Linked DNA regions of Saccharomyces cerevisiae S288C. Changing the gene in region 2 together with the main gene of any one other region gives a genetic interaction. Each region holds a gene or a part of one and is shown on either strand. Other genes may lie near its edges.

The links.
Region 1: mutations in SUR1 (region 2) and RVS161 together harm fitness less than expected from each alone (positive genetic interaction), as found in Saccharomyces cerevisiae (5 studies listed by BioGRID, with this or other methods).
Region 3: of SUR1 (region 2) and SUR2, a mutation in one rescues a mutant of the other (synthetic rescue), as found in Saccharomyces cerevisiae (7 studies listed by BioGRID, with this or other methods).

Annotation. Positions count from the first base shown.
Region 1 is NC_001135.5:129,164-133,285, forward strand, and holds RVS161 (amphiphysin-like protein RVS161), read right to left. Parts: upstream 2,380-4,122; coding exon 1,582-2,379; downstream 1-1,581. Other genes in the region: serine/threonine protein kinase SAT4, read left to right, coding at 1-1,118; ADY2 (Ady2p), read right to left, coding at 3,110-3,961. UniProt on the Saccharomyces cerevisiae protein: Component of a cytoskeletal structure that is required for the formation of endocytic vesicles at the plasma membrane level.
Region 2 is NC_001148.4:448,545-457,200, forward strand, and holds SUR1 (mannosylinositol phosphorylceramide synthase catalytic subunit SUR1), read right to left. Parts: upstream 4,514-8,656; coding exon 3,365-4,513; downstream 1-3,364. Other genes in the region: ATP-binding cassette multidrug transporter PDR12, read right to left, coding at 1-1,833; LCL1 (Lcl1p), read right to left, coding at 4,886-5,191; LGE1 (Lge1p), read right to left, coding at 5,448-6,446; LEE1 (Lee1p), read left to right, coding at 7,215-8,120; KTR6 (putative mannosyltransferase), read right to left, coding at 8,574-8,656. UniProt on the Saccharomyces cerevisiae protein: Involved in the synthesis of mannosyl phosphorylinositol ceramide. Catalyzes the addition of mannosyl to phosphorylinositol ceramide. Suppressor of RVS161 mutation.
Region 3 is NC_001136.10:1,054,756-1,059,181, reverse strand, and holds SUR2 (sphingosine hydroxylase), read right to left. Parts: upstream 2,632-4,426; coding exon 1,582-2,631; downstream 1-1,581. Other genes in the region: ATP5 (F1F0 ATP synthase subunit 5), read left to right, coding at 368-1,006; mitochondrial 54S ribosomal protein mL67 MHR1, read right to left, coding at 3,290-3,970. UniProt on the Saccharomyces cerevisiae protein: Required for hydroxylation of C-4 in the sphingoid moiety of ceramide. Catalyzes the conversion of sphinganine to phytosphingosine in sphingolipid biosynthesis. Involved in the response to syringomycin.

The DNA.
Region 1 (4,122 bases), on a different chromosome or scaffold from region 2:
CTGCTGTCCCTGATATAATAATGGATCCAAAGACGACTTTAAAATCCAACAAGAATCCTCCTACTCTTTTTGCAGGCTTCATGAAGCAGGTCGTGGATATGGATGATAAATATCCAGAAGGCGCTCCCACAAGTGGCGCTTTAAATTGTCCTGAAAGGGATATATACAGGTCAGATCAAAAAGATTCCAAAAATAATACGCATAATATCACTACTACTAAAAAAGATAGGCAATGTTTTGCCGAAAAGTATGGTCGCTGTCAAGAAGTCCTTGGTAAAGGTGCTTTTGGTGTAGTAAGAATATGTCAAAAGAAAAATGTTTCTTCTCAAGATGGTAATAAAAGTGAAAAGCTTTATGCAGTGAAAGAGTTCAAGCGTAGAACATCCGAATCAGCAGAAAAGTATTCTAAGAGGTTGACTTCTGAATTTTGCATTTCTTCTTCATTACACCATACAAATATTGTTACTACACTAGATCTTTTCCAAGATGCCAAAGGCGAGTACTGTGAAGTAATGGAATATTGTGCAGGTGGCGATCTATTCACTTTGGTCGTTGCCGCCGGAAAATTAGAATATATGGAAGCAGATTGTTTCTTCAAGCAGCTTATTAGAGGTGTTGTTTATATGCATGAAATGGGTGTTTGTCATAGAGATTTGAAGCCTGAGAACTTACTGCTTACGCACGATGGTGTGCTAAAAATTACAGACTTTGGTAACAGCGAATGTTTCAAGATGGCATGGGAAAAAAATATTCACCTTAGTGGAGGCGTTTGCGGTTCATCGCCGTACATCGCCCCAGAGGAATATATCAAAGAAGAGTTTGATCCAAGACCCGTAGATATATGGGCATGTGGTGTCATTTATATGGCAATGAGAACTGGTAGACAATTGTGGAGTTCTGCTGAAAAAGACGATCCATTTTATATGAATTATTTAAAAGGACGTAAGGAAAAGGGAGGCTATGAGCCAATCGAAAGTTTAAAAAGAGCCAGGTGTAGGAATGTTATATATTCGATGTTAGATCCCGTTCCGTACAGAAGAATTAACGGGAAACAAATTTTGAACAGTGAATGGGGAAGGGAGATAAAATGCTGCCATAATGGGCGCGCATTGAAATAAACGAGTACTTCACTTTCAAATATCACGATATTTTGGAACAATTCGGTATTTTTTACTTAATCTAGTACACTAAGGAATGCTTTGTTATCCGGCATTCGTATCTTATTCCTCGCTTCTATTGTTCTACTTTTATATCCCGTTTGGCTGATTACGGATCACGTTCAAATTGGTAAATCCCATTAATTAAAAAAGAATTGTAACCTTATTTAAAAAAAAAAATAGTACATAACAATAAAAAAAAAAAAGATAATAATTTTGAATTTATTGCTAGACATTCTTACGTTTATTGTGTTCATGTTAACAAAAACACATGCCCGCGGTTATTATCGCTTTTTAATTGCTTTCTTAAAAAGAGTCGGTTGGTCAGATAGAGCAGATAGTAAATTATAGTGCTATTTAGGTCTGTTAATTTAAATGAAAGAAACATAAATGACCGTAAAAAACTAAAGGCAAAAGCATTAATTTATTTTATCCCGAGCGCACAAATATCTAGGCTTGTCATTTGTCCTAATAGTTCTTCGATTTTAGTGTCTAATAACCCATTGGCATAGTCGTCTCTTGATTGTTGGTCCAAATATTGTTGAATCTGCGCTAAACGAGTGTAACCATCAGTACAGAACCTTAGCTGAATCTTGATTAAAGCTTCAAAACTTGGGTCAAAGTAAGGTACTCTTAATGAAACTAACTGTGGTAGTTCAGTTTTCAATTGGTTATTAAGATTTTCGAAAATATCTTTAGCTAAGCTCAATTCTTTTTCAGCCCTTGGCAGTTTAGAGGCATCTTTAGCAGGTTTGTCCACTAATCTACGAACTTTTGCCTTCGCAGCATCGAAGTCTTGTTTCTTATGGTCTCTCTTTTTTATGGCCTCCTCAATTTCTTTGAAATACGTCGAAAACTTTGTTATTGGATCTAGTACGGTTTCTCTTAAGGGCCCGTCTAATTGCTTAACAGTTTCGCTATCAAAATCTTGAACACATTGCAAATAATAGTTACCAACGTTGTAACCACCACCAGCAACATATTTTGAATCGTCATAGAGGTTAGAGATGACCTCGGCAATGGTAGTCTGTGATGCTGTCACAGCTCTCAATGAGTCCAAGAAACCTTTGGCTTCCTTTTGTAATGCCTCACCTGCTCTTTGAAGAACTTTATAACGACGTTCTTCCATGTCATACTCTTTATCAATGGTCTTGTCGACATTCTTAATTATCACACTGTGACCAGCTCTGTTGATAGCTTTCTTAAAACCTTCCCAACTCATCTTGTATCAGCTTTCTTCTGGCTTCTTATAATAGGATTTGTATAGTTTTCTATATCACAGCGTTTCCTTTTCTTCTCTCACGTCTGCCTGTTATTAAATTTGTTTTCCCTTTCTTTTAATTCGGATTCTCATAATTGTTCAAAATCCGCGCATTTGGATCGTCCAGCCCCTGCAGCGCCCAGTTCAGCCAACAAAAATTCATAGGGACGTAAAGGAAACGTTTCATGTCTGTTACAATGAAAAAGACAAGTCGAATCACATTATGAATGGCAAACGATAGACCTTTCGTTGCCTTTCAATTACATGATATTCGTGGCAACATCTTCTCCGCTAACCTAAAAGTTTTATCAGAAACATATATCTTATTTTTTCTGAAGTAAAATCAAAGTGCAGGGAAGACAAGTAAAGGAGTCAGCAAAAAAGTGAAGTAAACTTATATGTTAACTGTTTATAACCGTACCTTGCTTACATCATCTATATTTTCGTAATCATTTTTGTACATTGTTTATATCTTGTTTTGAAGTTTTAGCTTTGAAAAACATTTAATTGCGAAGTAACATAATGTTATTAATAGTGTACGACTGAAACAGCCATTCTATTTAAACATATAAAAGTACGATTAGTTGGTGTGGTTATATAAGTCATAAAATAATTATCATATTAAAAAATTGAAAAATAAAAAACTACTCTTTTTTATTTCAATAGTTCTCGTTATTAGTAGGTCGTGCTCTTAAAAGATTACCCTTTCAGTAGATGGTAATGGGAATGGACGAGCCAGTACATATGAATTCTGCTTTGTAGCAACACCTGCATATGCGTTGTACCAAGCAATGAAAGCAACAACAACTCCCAGGACACCACCAGCTCTTGTGACACCAAGTCTATTAGCAAAGTGACCAATAGACAACAGTAGGAAAGTTAATGCTAGTAAGAAGAACAACAAAAAGAACATAACAGTGGATTTCATGGTACAAACGGTTAAACCAAACGTAAAGATGGCCCACCCCAACAAATAAAATCCTAAAGCATTATTCAAATCAGATTCATTGTCTTCGTAAGCTTCCAAGATACCAAACCAAGGAATGTAAATTGCAGCGAAACTCAACCAAAACCCACCGTAAGAACATAATGCGGTACCACCAAAAGTATTTTCCAAAGCTATCTCCCAAATACCAGCAATCAATTGCACCAAACCACCATAAAACATAGCACAACCGACGACAACATTAGGAACAGTGATCCCTTGCGCTCTCGCATTGAACATGGACAGCACAAATGTCGTCAACGCGAAGGCTGAAAGACCTAAGGGCGCAGGATTAGCAAATTTGTGCACTGGAGCAGGAGCTAACCCTGGATTCAAGGTACCACCAAAGGCTTGGTATAAGTCGCTCTTCAAAAACTTTTGACGCCCAATATAGATATATTCATTGTTATCACCTCCAGTGTAAATCTTGCCCAACGAATCATGAGATGGACGTTCATCTTCTGCAACGCCATTAACGTCGTTATCATGGGAACTATAGTATCCTGCTGGTGCATTCTCCAAATCTGTGTTTCCGCTCGTTTGTTCCTTGTCAGACATATTATTTGTTTGTATATGAGTTGTTTTGTGGTTGTTTAGTTATATCTGTGTTAGCTGTCGACTATTTGCCTTTTTCTTATAAACAGATGCTAGTAGTTTCTGTTGTATTGTTATTGCTATTGGACGATATATAAAATGAACCTATAGCAAGATCTCAGGGA
Region 2 (8,656 bases):
AATCAAACATAGTATCACAATAGCGACAAATTTAGTAGGGAACTCAGTGATAATCTCTTGTAACGATTCCGCAGACAAATGGTACATGGAATATGATTTGTGTTTGACAATAACAGGTCTACTAGAAAAAGAGTTACCAATTTCGGCCAAGGAAGTAACAGAAGCGAACAATAAAACATAGAATAACATACCACCACGAGAATAAGCACCTGCCGTGGTGGATTGACTTTTGTCATCAATTTTGTGGAACATAGAACCGATAATCAAAGCTTTGATCAAAAAAGAACTTAAGTAGACCTTAGTATACGTTGAATCACCCTTAACCCTTTGAAAACCACGAATCATACAATAATAAACTTGTGTCCAATAATTGACAACATATTGAGAATTTTCTCTTTGGCCTTGTTGCAGTCTTTGCTTCTTGGCCACATCCAGTCTATCTCTCGTTTCATTAACAGGGTGTCTACTTTGATAATCATCATAAGTTCTTAAAAGTTCCTGATAATCCTCAGAGTTCAACCAGTATTCCTCAAACTCTGAACTAGATTTTGGAACTTTATCTTCATAGCCAGGTTTAATATCCAATGTCCTATTTTCAAAATCGACCGTGACGGATGTTAAAAATTCCGCAGAGGTCATTCTGTTTGGTTTAACCCAACCCATTCTTTGGAAATATCCAACAGCTTTATCAGCAGGACCGAAGTAAATCTGTCTACCGTTATATAGAACAGTAGTTTTATCAAATAATTCATAAATATTTTCACCAGCTTGGTAAATAGCAACAATAGCAGAGTTGTTTACCATATTTGTAGCCGTTCTAATGGCTTGGGCAAACTCTAAAGCAGTAGAGGCATCCAAACCTCTTGTGGCGTTATCCCAAGAGTAGATGGAGGCATTCATTGCCTGAGCTTCAACCAAGGAAACACGCTTACGTTCACCACCAGAAACACCTCTTACGAAATCGTTACCGACTTTGGTGGCATATGTGTGTCTTAAACCAAAAACGGTACACCACATATCTCTGATGTTATCAACGTATTGCTTTCTCGTCATTTTGTCAATTCTAACACGAGGAGTCTTACATTTTAGGGCAAAATCGATTGTTTCCTTCACAGTAATTTTTGGGAAATGGAAATCAAGCTCGGGACAGTAAATAACGTAACCTTTATACTTAGACATCATTTCGCTTTGGTCCAGACCATCATAGGAGAATTCACCTTGTACATCAACTAATTCTGAAGTTTCACCAGATAGACACTTTAGGAAAGTGGAGCAACCTGCACCTGGCCTACCGACGACAAATAACATTTCACCAGATTCAACGACACCCGTACAATTTTGAATAATATTCCTTAATGGGACATCAGATTTCTTGGTAAATTTACTTATGAGATGTGCCGGTATACTAGCAATATTTCTAAACATCTCTTCAACACTAGGCCCATATGCAGCAGAGGCATCAACACCGACTGCTGTTAGGTTTTTAAAGGCAATACCAGAATCACCAGGTTCAATTCCCTGTTCCAATTGACGAGACCTCAAATAATGTAATAGTGAGCGCAAATCAAAATCTAAGTCATTAATTTCAAAAGAGTCCATTTCCTTCTTTGTCTTATGTGAAATGACTCTCGCCATAGACTCCAACCTTTCAATACCTTCTTCATTGGAAAGAATGTTTGAAAGGTGACGGGATAGCTGAGAAGTGGCTGCCAAATCCTCATTATCAACTTGGCCTTCGGAGGCAGCGTAGGATTGTACCGAATTAGCATAATCATCGTCATGGTTCGATCTCGACGAAATGTCTTTCTCAATATGTTCGTCAGTCGAAGACATTTTTTTATTAATAAGAACAATAACAATAAATCTGTAAACCTTTTTTTTAAGTGAAAATTAGTAACTGGGAAAACAGAGAGAAAAAAAGCAGAAGAATATATTGATTGAAGAATAAAACTGTTTAACGTTCCCGTTTATTTTTCAGATTATCCTATTGTTATACTATTATCGTTCTTAGTCTTTTCTTTATATGATAAAGAGAACCCCAAAAAGAGAACTACCTTGTACCATGGTTGTTAATAAAATTGGATTTGTTGATATATTTATATGATTAACATTTCATTCAGGATAGAATTGCCTAAAAGGTAAGAAATAATCATAAGAACCGTCGAGAAAATGTGATACCGAATCCCTGCGGTGGACGTGGCTAAAGAATAGTGAAGAAAAACCGGCTGTAGTGTATGTTTTGTATGAGCCATAGCCGAAAGATCGAAAAAGTAGCAGATCCCAAACACTTTACGGAAAAAAATCGAGAAATTCCGGCGAATCGGCTCTTAACGGATGCAGGGTGTCAGTCTGATGAGCCATAAAAAGAAAGATGCACCATTGCCAAGCTGCCCTGAGGAAGGGTTTTGGTTACCCTGTGAGATGGATGCGGTAAAATGACCAAGGGACCGGTTGGTAAGGGACCAGGTTAGGAACCGTGAGCGGCGAAAAAAGCGCGCATTTGCACAATTATATTATTAACAGGTGCCTGAATTTTAAGAACCGTCCACCATCACAGGTGAAACAAATCAACAGAGTCCTGCCGGCTGGTAAACAATCCATCTTTGGTTTAGAGGCCACTATCGTCAGAATAATATAAGGTCTATTTTCGGCGCGAAAGTCCTGATGAGGTAAATCGTAGTCAGGCGCCTGAAAGTCTAAACTAAACAATTGAAAGCCGAAACCGAAACGCGGAAAAGTAAATGGCACTCTTCGAGCGGCTACTAGTCGAGTAATTACATTTCTAAATTAGTCTGTGCAATAGGGAAAAGAGAACATTCTTACTCCGTTGCGATGTTTCTGAGCATAAGGCGCGCGCAAAAGCACGCACGCATTGACCGGAGCGGCGCCCACACACGGTTGTTATCCTAGTTTTTGTTGTGAGGAAGTGTTCATATTCTTTTAGGTTATATTTATATATATATATATAAAAGTTGAATGTAAAATGCAAAACAAAGATATCGTAGTATAGAGGGTAATATCACAGTAATAAAACAGGCCTGGTTTGAAGAATGATTATGTTGATGCTGGAGGTCGTAAATTGTAACATGAAATAGGGAGCATGCGAAAAAAAAAAATGACGAGCAAAAAAAGCAAGGTAGACAGGCGTGCCAAGCGGAGTAGTATGTCGTAAGAAGCGAGCAAATAGTACTCCTTGTCTTGCAAAGTAGCGAAGTACAAGACTGGTCTTCAGGCTGCTAGAGATTTGTATCAATTTTGTATTTTTTTTTCATCCCATGCAATTTTCCTTCCCATTTCTTTTGCTTTTTTTGCCGCGAATTGAAATATAAAGTCTGATATGAATTGTTGGAGTCATACCATTCTCTTACGAGCTGTTATTTCCCAGTGAGTACTTAGAAGAATCATTCTTTTCTAAATCGTAAACATCACTTTTCCTTGAAGATTTTAGTAACACTATGTTTGTATTGGAATCTTTCCTCAATCGTTTCTGCTGCCTTGCCAGCAAAGTGGCACTGGCAGTATCACTGGTACTTTTACTCAACTTTAGTCTTAAGCCTAATGAATTTAGAATTGTGACAAATCTTACTTTTATAGCATTAAGTTTCCAATTTTTGGTTAGATTACTGAAATTCTTGGAACACAACCAGCAATAGAACGTGAATTCACCATATAGGATAAAGAAGCCAAAAATAAATCCGGTAACGACGCAGGATAAGATGTGGTTTTCTAGTGCTTTCATCAATTTTGCATCATCTAAATGCCATGAAGAGCCTTTAGTAATGGAGAAAAATGAATAACTATGCATCTTGTAGTAAGCAGGTTGTAGGATTCTTACTGTCCCGTTCTTAGGTATGCGCCATCTTTTGTACTGCTTCCAAATAACACTTAAAAACAACGGACCAGTAGACCCCATAATAGTCATGTAAGGGATAAACCAGTACTTGTCATAGTGTTTCAAAGACTTTAAAGCCTTTAAAAAGAAGGGATGTCTAGGCACAGAACCCATGACATCGTTTGAGACACCTAAAGGTGAAGTCTTTCTTAAGAAGGCCGGGAAAGCTAACAAAGGATCTAGTTTCCTTTCGCAGCCGTCATCTAAATCGATGTATACACCACCATAATGGGACAGGATAAAGTAACGAATGGCATCGGCACGTTCTATGGGGTATTTGTAGTTCTCAAAAGTATCGAGAAACCACGGGTATTCTTCCTTTATAAACTCATAGGCCATCTCGTCCGTCCATAGGATGTACTTGTAATCTGGATGTAGATCGAGACATTTTTGTCTACCCTCTTTCCAGTGCTCAGGGATGTCTTCCGTTTTATAAGTCTGATGTATGATTTTAGGTATTAGTTGAGGCTTTGGAGGTGCATCTGGATTTAAGTCTTCCTCAAGTATAGCATCTTTAACAGTATCGTCAATACACAACGTTAGCAAATCGAAAGTGTAGTATATTATAGATAACAGGAGGAGTATGTTGAAGCAGATAAGGTATTTTAATTCTTTTCTCATCGTGAGTGCAACAGCGGAAAATCAGAAAAATAGAGTAAAGCAAATATGCGAAAATGAAAAGTGTCTTCCGATTTATTGTTTGTTTGTATGTGTTTATTTGAATCCGATGATGAATATTACAACAGGTTAAAGAAAACAAAACATGCGAAGCAAAATATGACGGGAATGTTGGCACCTTTTATTTAACTATATTAGAAAAGAAAAAGCAGAAAACGTAAAATATCTGCGTAAGCCTCCTCCCTGTGTCTTCACTCCTCTAACCATTTTTTCCAAGTAGAAAAGTTTATATATAACAAGAGGGGAAAAAAATGTGGAAATTGGCAGTGGACGTGAGAACAAAAAAGCACCGCTGAAAGGCTTGGCCAAGGAAGTTTAGAAAGGCGATAATAACGAGGTAAGAAGAAAGAAAAAAAAAGAAAAAGATGGCTTAGCAAAAGATTGGTTTTTATCCCGGGGGAGTTGTTGTGGCCGGGAGCAAGAGAAGAGACGCAGCAAGCGTGGGTCAATGATAATGACGCAGCGCGACGCGACGCGACGCGAATTCAAAAGTGTGAGTTTGCTCGGGGATAGTAATAATGCGGGGGGGAAGACGAAACAGACCGTGTGTGGTGTGGGTGGGATTTCGTGGGAGCACGTGGCGAGCAGAGGAAGAGCCTCACACAATGCTGCGTTCTTCATAAAGGGGATCAAAGCAAATAGATAATCGATTCCAAAGACAGATGGCTGACACGCACTTTCACAGTTTCGCAGTTTTTTCTTTTTTCGTAGTCGCTTTCCTAGTCGCTTTCCTGGCTCTTTACCTAATCGGGCTTAACCTAGCAGTACCTTTTCTCGATTCATGAAATCAAAACGCTAGTCACTTCCTTATAATTTCCTTTTTCAATTTCCGCCGCTTGCGTTTACGTAGTTTATCTATTTATAGGTACGGTATACCCTACTGCATTAATAACAATGAGTCCAGCTTTTCTTGGGTCAGTTGAATATTTAATGCATGCTTGTCGCACTGGTTATTTAGGAGCCGCAATTCTAGCTCATTAGAATTGATTTTTAGGTTTAGTTCTTCCAAAGCGGAATCGATGGAATCGCTCTCTTTGAAAACTTCCCTCGCCTTTTCACATTCACTTTCGGTGTTGTTTGTCTTTTTCACATTTTTATCAAAATCTGTCAAGTAAATAAAGGGGGAATCTTTCATATCTAGTATTCTTTTCTTCTTGACGACGCTGCTGCTAGAGCCGTCGCTGTTACTTCTATTTTCTGGTACGTGTACTGGGTAACCCTTTGCATAATAGCCATTCGATGGGGGAGGCGGTGGTGTCTCACGGTGGTGGTAATTATTGTAAGTATGGCTGCTGGAATATGGATAAGCACTGCTGTGATATGATCTATTGTTGGTTATAGACGATACTGAAGGTGGTGGCGGAAGCCCGTTGCTGGTGCTGCTAGTGCTGCTGTTCCCACTACTACCATTTCTGCTGCTGGTGCTGCCAACGCTCATCGGTTGTTGGCGTGGATGATCTGCCTGCATGTTCCGGTATCTGGACTTGACTCTTTTTTCGTCATTATCTTCTTGCGAGGCGCTCGTGGTCCTGCCGTTCGTATCTTGACTATTGCCACGTTGCGGTAGGTGGTACGAATTTGTACCATTGTTGTACCTGGGGGATGGTTGTGCTTGGTAATGCCTGCTATTAGCTGAATAGTACGGCCTTGTATCTGTGTATCCGTTTCGATAGTATGCTCCGGTTTGTCTCAAGTCTCCCTCTTGGGGCGGCTGCTCATAGTCACTGTTGTATCTCGCGCCATAAGACGCATTACCGCCTCTGTAATACGATCCGCCTGCTCCACCTCTACTTCGTCTCGCATGGTGATAACCCCCCCTTTGTCTCGGAGGAGTGGATGAGTATCTGCTATAATTATTTCCCGTGTATCCGCTCATACTTTACTGCGGTTTTTTGGTCACCTCTTCTGCCTCGTAATAAATGTGGTGTTCTTTCCTTTCATCGCAGTTGATTCATTCTCTCTGATGAAAATAAGAGAAAAAAAAGAACTTCACAGGGTAATGGCCCGTACAAAGTGTCTTTTTTTTCAATTCGGAACGGCGGAATTCCCCGCCACTCTTGCCCCGCCCCTTAAAACGCCAAGGTGAAAGGGAGCTCTACTACAGGCCCGCCACAGTATGATGTGGGATAAAAAAGATGATAGGAAGAAAAGGTGCAGACAACATCCTGTATGGGGTGCACGGTGTGGCAGTGCTAGTAATAAAATGATGTGGAGATTAACATGTTGTGGTACGGTATTCTTATCTTCAAGGTACCACAGTATAATTCTGCCTTTATCATTTTTTATTTGTATTATGTATTTTCGTGCTTATCTTGTAATTTTTAAGTTTTGGATTTCGGTGCTTCGTGTAGTTCTTCCCCTATATCTCAATCTAAAGTAAATTATTACAAAATATGGTGGTGATCTTTTAATCTCAAAGCTTCTTTTACTCCGGGCATTATAAAAACAGAATCTCTTAGCAGTTACTCTTTTCCCTTTTCTCTTGTGCCGTCATATTAGAGTAATTATAATTTCTTCTTTTTCGGCTTCCCCTTGTTTCTACAAAATCTCGATTTTATTATCTAACACTATCATAACTACTACTATTACTATTACTATTATTATTATTATTATAAATCTTAAAACTATTATTTGCTAAAACAAAATGGATGCTTTTGAGAATATGTCTGTATCAAATCATCCGGGCGGTAACGCAAGAAGAAACTCCCAATCAGCAAACGAAATGCTTGCATCGCAAATTCAGGATTTCCAGAATATTCCAAGGTCTTTCAATGACAGCAATGCAAATGTAAATTTGTCAAAAAATTGTACTGTCGGCAATCAACTGCCTTTCTCATCACGTCAACAAAAAATTATCATGGAACATTTACTGATAACGAAGAACAATTCTCAACAGCAGAAGGACTATTCACACGTGCCATGCAAATTTTTTAAGATGGGCAATTGCCAAGCTGGCTCGTCTTGTCCCTTTTCCCATTCCCCAGATATTATCAGTTCTGCGAATAATTTACCTTGCAAGTATTTCGCAAAGGGTAACTGTAAATTCGGTAACAAGTGTGTTAATGCTCATGTGCTGCCAAATGGGTTCAAGATGAACAGTAAAGAACCTATTGACATCACTCCCCCTTCACAAAACAACTACTTATCCCATGCTAGATCAGCTTCTTTCTCTACCTACACGTCTCCTCCTCTGTCTGCACAAACGGAATTCTCTCACTCTGCTTCGAATGCAAACTACTTTTCCTCGCAATACCTAATGTATTCGCCTCAGAAAAGTCCAGAGGCCCTATATACTGAATTCTTTTCTCCCCCTTCGTCTTCTTCTTCGTACATCAACTATAGCTATAATAACTCCAACATTAATGCCTATTCTCCAGTCTCTTCGTCTTCATCTAACATTTGGCAAGAGCAAGGCCAAACTACGTTATCGAATCCGAGTGTGAATCAGAATTTAAGGTATCGTACAGGCCCTGCAATTCAAGAAGAATCAGATAATGAAATTGAAGATTTACTTATTCACAATTTCAATTCCAGATACTGTCATGAATGAAGAGCCGCCCCATCCATAGTTTTTCCTAGTTCAAGCATTAATATACCGGACCACTCTACATCTTCCGAAAGCCGGAAAATAAGAACAAAAAATAATAAAAAAAAGCACGTTTAATATAAAAAACATTTCATTGTATGAGTTGGATTCTTTTAATTTTATTTTAAAATACGGTTGCATTTTGCATAGTAATATCCAACCAATTATTTACTGAAATTTGAAATTTGATTAAAAAAGTCAAACCAAAAAAACTACGACAATACATGAAGCTCTGAATCTTCTAGCCTAGTCATTTTATATATATATATTCACCTCCTCTCGATACGTTCCATCATAAGTTAGTTTTGTTTTTCTCTTTCTCGCGATCCTAATTAAAAATTAAATAAAATAAATAAATACATATGTATATATATTCATATGTAGAAGATTATTGTTCTTATACATCAGTGTTTTGATTTATGGTAACCTATCCCAACCTTCTGGCTTATCTTTCTTCATAATGTCGAAGTAATGTCCGCCACATGAACCACTTCTAAACG
Region 3 (4,426 bases), on a different chromosome or scaffold from region 2:
ACTACTTACGTCCAATAAATCGTTATATTTTATGCCGTCGTCATAAAGTGGACACTTTCGAGAGACGGTGCTGGCCAATAAGATGCTGATATTTGAAATATCATTTACCCGGGCCCGGGTGGGAAAAACAAGGAATTAAAGATAATGAAGTGATCTTTTGGCGAGATAGTAAAACTTTCAATTATCTAGGAACAATTTCAAACGCCAATTGTTAACTTTGTGTACAGTATTTCTAGTTTTTATCTCATTGAAAACAAAATTCAGTCAACTTGGAAATTTAAGCAGGCTACTGTGGCATTGAGATATTTTTCCGCAGAGTAAGAACCGATTAGCAAGTTACCGCATTATTTTTAAACCGTGGACAATCATGTTTAATAGAGTCTTTACCAGGTCATTTGCATCAAGCTTAAGAGCTGCTGCTTCCAAAGCTGCTGCTCCCCCACCGGTGAGATTGTTCGGTGTTGAGGGCACTTACGCAACAGCTTTATATCAGGCCGCTGCAAAGAACTCCTCTATTGATGCTGCCTTTCAATCTTTGCAAAAAGTTGAAAGCACAGTCAAAAAGAATCCAAAATTAGGTCACTTATTACTGAATCCTGCATTGTCATTGAAGGACAGAAATTCTGTCATTGATGCCATCGTGGAGACTCACAAGAATTTGGATGGTTATGTCGTTAACCTATTGAAGGTTCTTTCCGAAAATAACAGACTGGGATGTTTTGAAAAAATTGCGTCTGACTTTGGCGTTTTAAACGATGCTCACAACGGGTTACTTAAAGGTACAGTGACTAGTGCTGAACCATTGGATCCTAAATCTTTCAAGAGGATTGAAAAAGCTTTGAGCGCCTCCAAATTGGTGGGGCAAGGTAAATCTTTGAAGCTGGAAAACGTGGTTAAGCCAGAGATTAAGGGTGGTTTGATTGTAGAACTTGGTGACAAGACTGTTGACTTAAGCATTTCTACAAAGATTCAAAAACTGAATAAGGTCTTAGAGGACAGCATTTAACGTTAATAATATAGTTGGATATGCTCAACTCGTTTGATGTTACTTTCTTTGCCTCCCTCCTAATTTTTGATTCTGTTCAAATATATATTCTTTTCCGTGAATTTTTCCTAAACATCAAAATTACGTACATATACGAATAAATAAGAAACCCCTCTAAAAAGTGAATTTTTTTGTTCGAGACAACCATTTTAATCATATATATGTTCGTGTATCCAGGCAAACTTATATTAATCGCAAAAAAAAAAATTATAAGTGTATATATGGAATAAACATAAAAAATAATAAAAGAAGAAAAAAAAAAATAATGAAGAATTCTCATCAGTTTTCGAAGATTTCAAGAAAGTCCGAAGAACATTTAAGACCTTTTTGATAATTCAAGATGTGCATGCACAATAATAACCATTTCATAGTTGAATTTTGATGTATTCTTTCGTTACAAATCAAATATATAGTCAAAGTCACGCCTATACACTTAATAATATGTCTTGATGTATATAAATGGATAATAAATACAAACGTGGGAAGTCGGAGACATTGCCTTTACCCAGCAATTGAACGGGAGGTATGCAAAAGGGTTATTTCTCTTTCTTTACTTCATTTTCAGCAGCATTCATAGCTTTGAAGTTTTTGAGTTTCTCCTTCTTTTCCAATTCTCTCTCTTGCAAAAACTCTTTGTACTTGTCGATGGTGACACGTCTTTGCTTCTTTTGATATTCTTCAAACCCTTTAAAGTTAGTTTGGAACAAATTGTCCCAGAAAGTGAAAAATGGTTGAGCAAAGTTCGTCTTGATACCAAATTGCTGGTGGTGGATATCGTGATAGACAGCGTTATTAGGGAAAAGCCATTGGAATGGGTCAAGTGGCAAAGCATACCCACAGTGGTCATCGACAGTCTTCATGGTGGCAAAGGTAAAAAGAATGATTTGCTCTCTGTGAGTCAAATGAGTTAACGTCATGGCAATACCGGTTCCCAAAGTATCTAACAAGAAGCCCTCAACAGGATTGTTGAAAAGAGCACCGTAAGCATATGGCACGTATAGTTCATGATGAACAGAGTGGAACCATTTGTATAAGGTCTTATTCATATGCATCAATCTATGCAAAAAGTATTGCCATGTATCAACGAATAAAAAGCCTGCAAAGATCTTCAAAGCGGACATTCCGTACATATAGCCGTAATAAATAGCGGCATCTGGAATAATCCGAGGAAGGTCTGCACGAAGCTTCCACATGGCATTTTCTTCAAACCCAGTCATGTAGATCGGCTCGAAGTGCATAAAGATAAGGCCAACAATGGTCTGTATGATATGTTGTAGAATCACTTCAAGGAAAACATGCATTCTCGACGCCTTGTTCCTCTTGGCAACCTCTTCGCTCGGATGAATTCTGTACTTCTCAGCCAGATGGAAAGTGTCTATTACATGGAATATACCAGACAACGCCCAGTAGGCAACAACCGGCGCAACCAAGGCCAGCACACCATCACTCATTTCCGGCAGCAAGGATTCCTTGGGGCGTAAATTAATGGCAGGGGCCTTGGCATAGTGCATAAACCCAAATGAGGTCTTGAGACCAAATGCTAGTGGAAAGGAACCGGCTGCAGTTGCATTCGATGTTACGTTCATCGTATATTTTCTTTTCGTATACACCCTCTTCGGACTAGAATGTTAGAAATACCCAGACCAAACAGTAAAGACGAAGACCCGGAGTAAATGCAAGGGAATAGAAGATATGTAAATCGTTACTTCTTTTATAATCCCAAAACACGAAACGAAAAATGCGGCAACAACAGCGCAGCAGGATGAAGAAAGAGTGAAATAAATCAAGACAATAGCAAACAAGAAATTTTTAGTAACCCAAAAAGAAATTTTTCTGTGAAAATTGGTGCGGAAAGACTAAGAAAAACCGCAGAAGCCGGAGAAAAGCGCGACTGCCCGAAGAAGGACGCGGGGTGAGGGAATAAGACAATAGGAAACAGGAGGTCGAAAAGCTTATTAAGCTGTGCAAGTGAAAAAGATAGAGAAATGACGATAAGGTGAGGAGGATAAAACGCGTTTCAAGTCACACAACAGCAGCAGTAGCAGCGGCAGCAGCAGCAGCGGCAGTAATAAAGACTAGCCCTGTGTATTCCTGTTTTGACCTATCTTCTTTTTGCGGATACCCGCACAGCACGTGTTTTTCCGTGGAACGGGATTTGGCAGAAAGGTTTGCATTGCACTATTTACATGAGCTTATATATGTTTTTTTTTCTACCTGCATTTGTATATCTAATGACGAAGCGTTCTACTGGGAAGACACTTCCGTCTGCTCTGTAGGATGTGATTCGAGCTTAGCTAGTTCCTTCAGAATAACGCTTTCTTCCCTCGCAATGTTCCCCACACGCTGAATAAGCTTGTGTTCCAGCCCCAGAGCATTGAACACATCGTAATTCCAATGTTTGTCCTTGTCACCCATCCTCCATGGGTCCTCCCAGTATATGGACGGTTTTTTGGCGGGTACTGTCTGCTTTTCTGCTGGTGTGGCATTCTCAAACACCTTCAACAAGGACTCCCGCAAGTCTGCCACTGCCTCTTGACAATATGTAGGTCTATACTGTCCGCTATACCAGACGTGCCCGTTAGAGTCCTTTTTTCTTAGCTTGTCACTCTCCTTACGCTGTGCCACATCACGGAGGTATCTCAACCGGCAGAGGTTCTGGTATAGATGGACACTCTGCTTATAGTTTTGCAAGTTCACTACACACATACATTTCCAGATGTCCCTTCTCAATGATGGCTTTCTGTTGCTCCAGTTTGGTCTCACAAACAGCTTATCCACCTGTGTTTGCGAAAAGTTGGGAAATTGAGAATATAGTACTTGTCCATACTCTAGGTTCCTAAAGATGTATACCTGGGGTGGGATTATCTTTGTCTTTTCGAACCATGAAGCGGGGCGGAATCTTGAAATTGAATGGTTTACCTTCATGCTTTTGCCCTGAAATATCGATTTTTCCGTCGCTGTTTCTCTATTTATTCCTCACAGGATCTCCTCTTTCCGTTTCCTCTACATTTCATCATATAGCCTTACTTTCACTTTTTCCTTTAGTATCTGAATATCGGAAAAGAGAATATTGTAGGAAATGTATTTTTCCCGTCTACCGTACAAAATGAGTCGTTAACTTGACAGGAATCATCAACTTTATGCACGTCTGAAATTTAACCGTGGCGTATATGGTTCATTGCTTACACGAATGTCTCCTAGTTTATATTTCCTGAGAAAGTTCTCTACAGCCCAAATAAATAGTTATATAGATATATAAGAAAAGCGACAACAAAAGAAAAAAAAAAAATACAGTCCTACTAAAATAACATAATTGCGGCACAGAAGAGTAACCACAACTAGTAGAACATCGAGAAAGGAGAGGTAACAAAAAATTTTTTT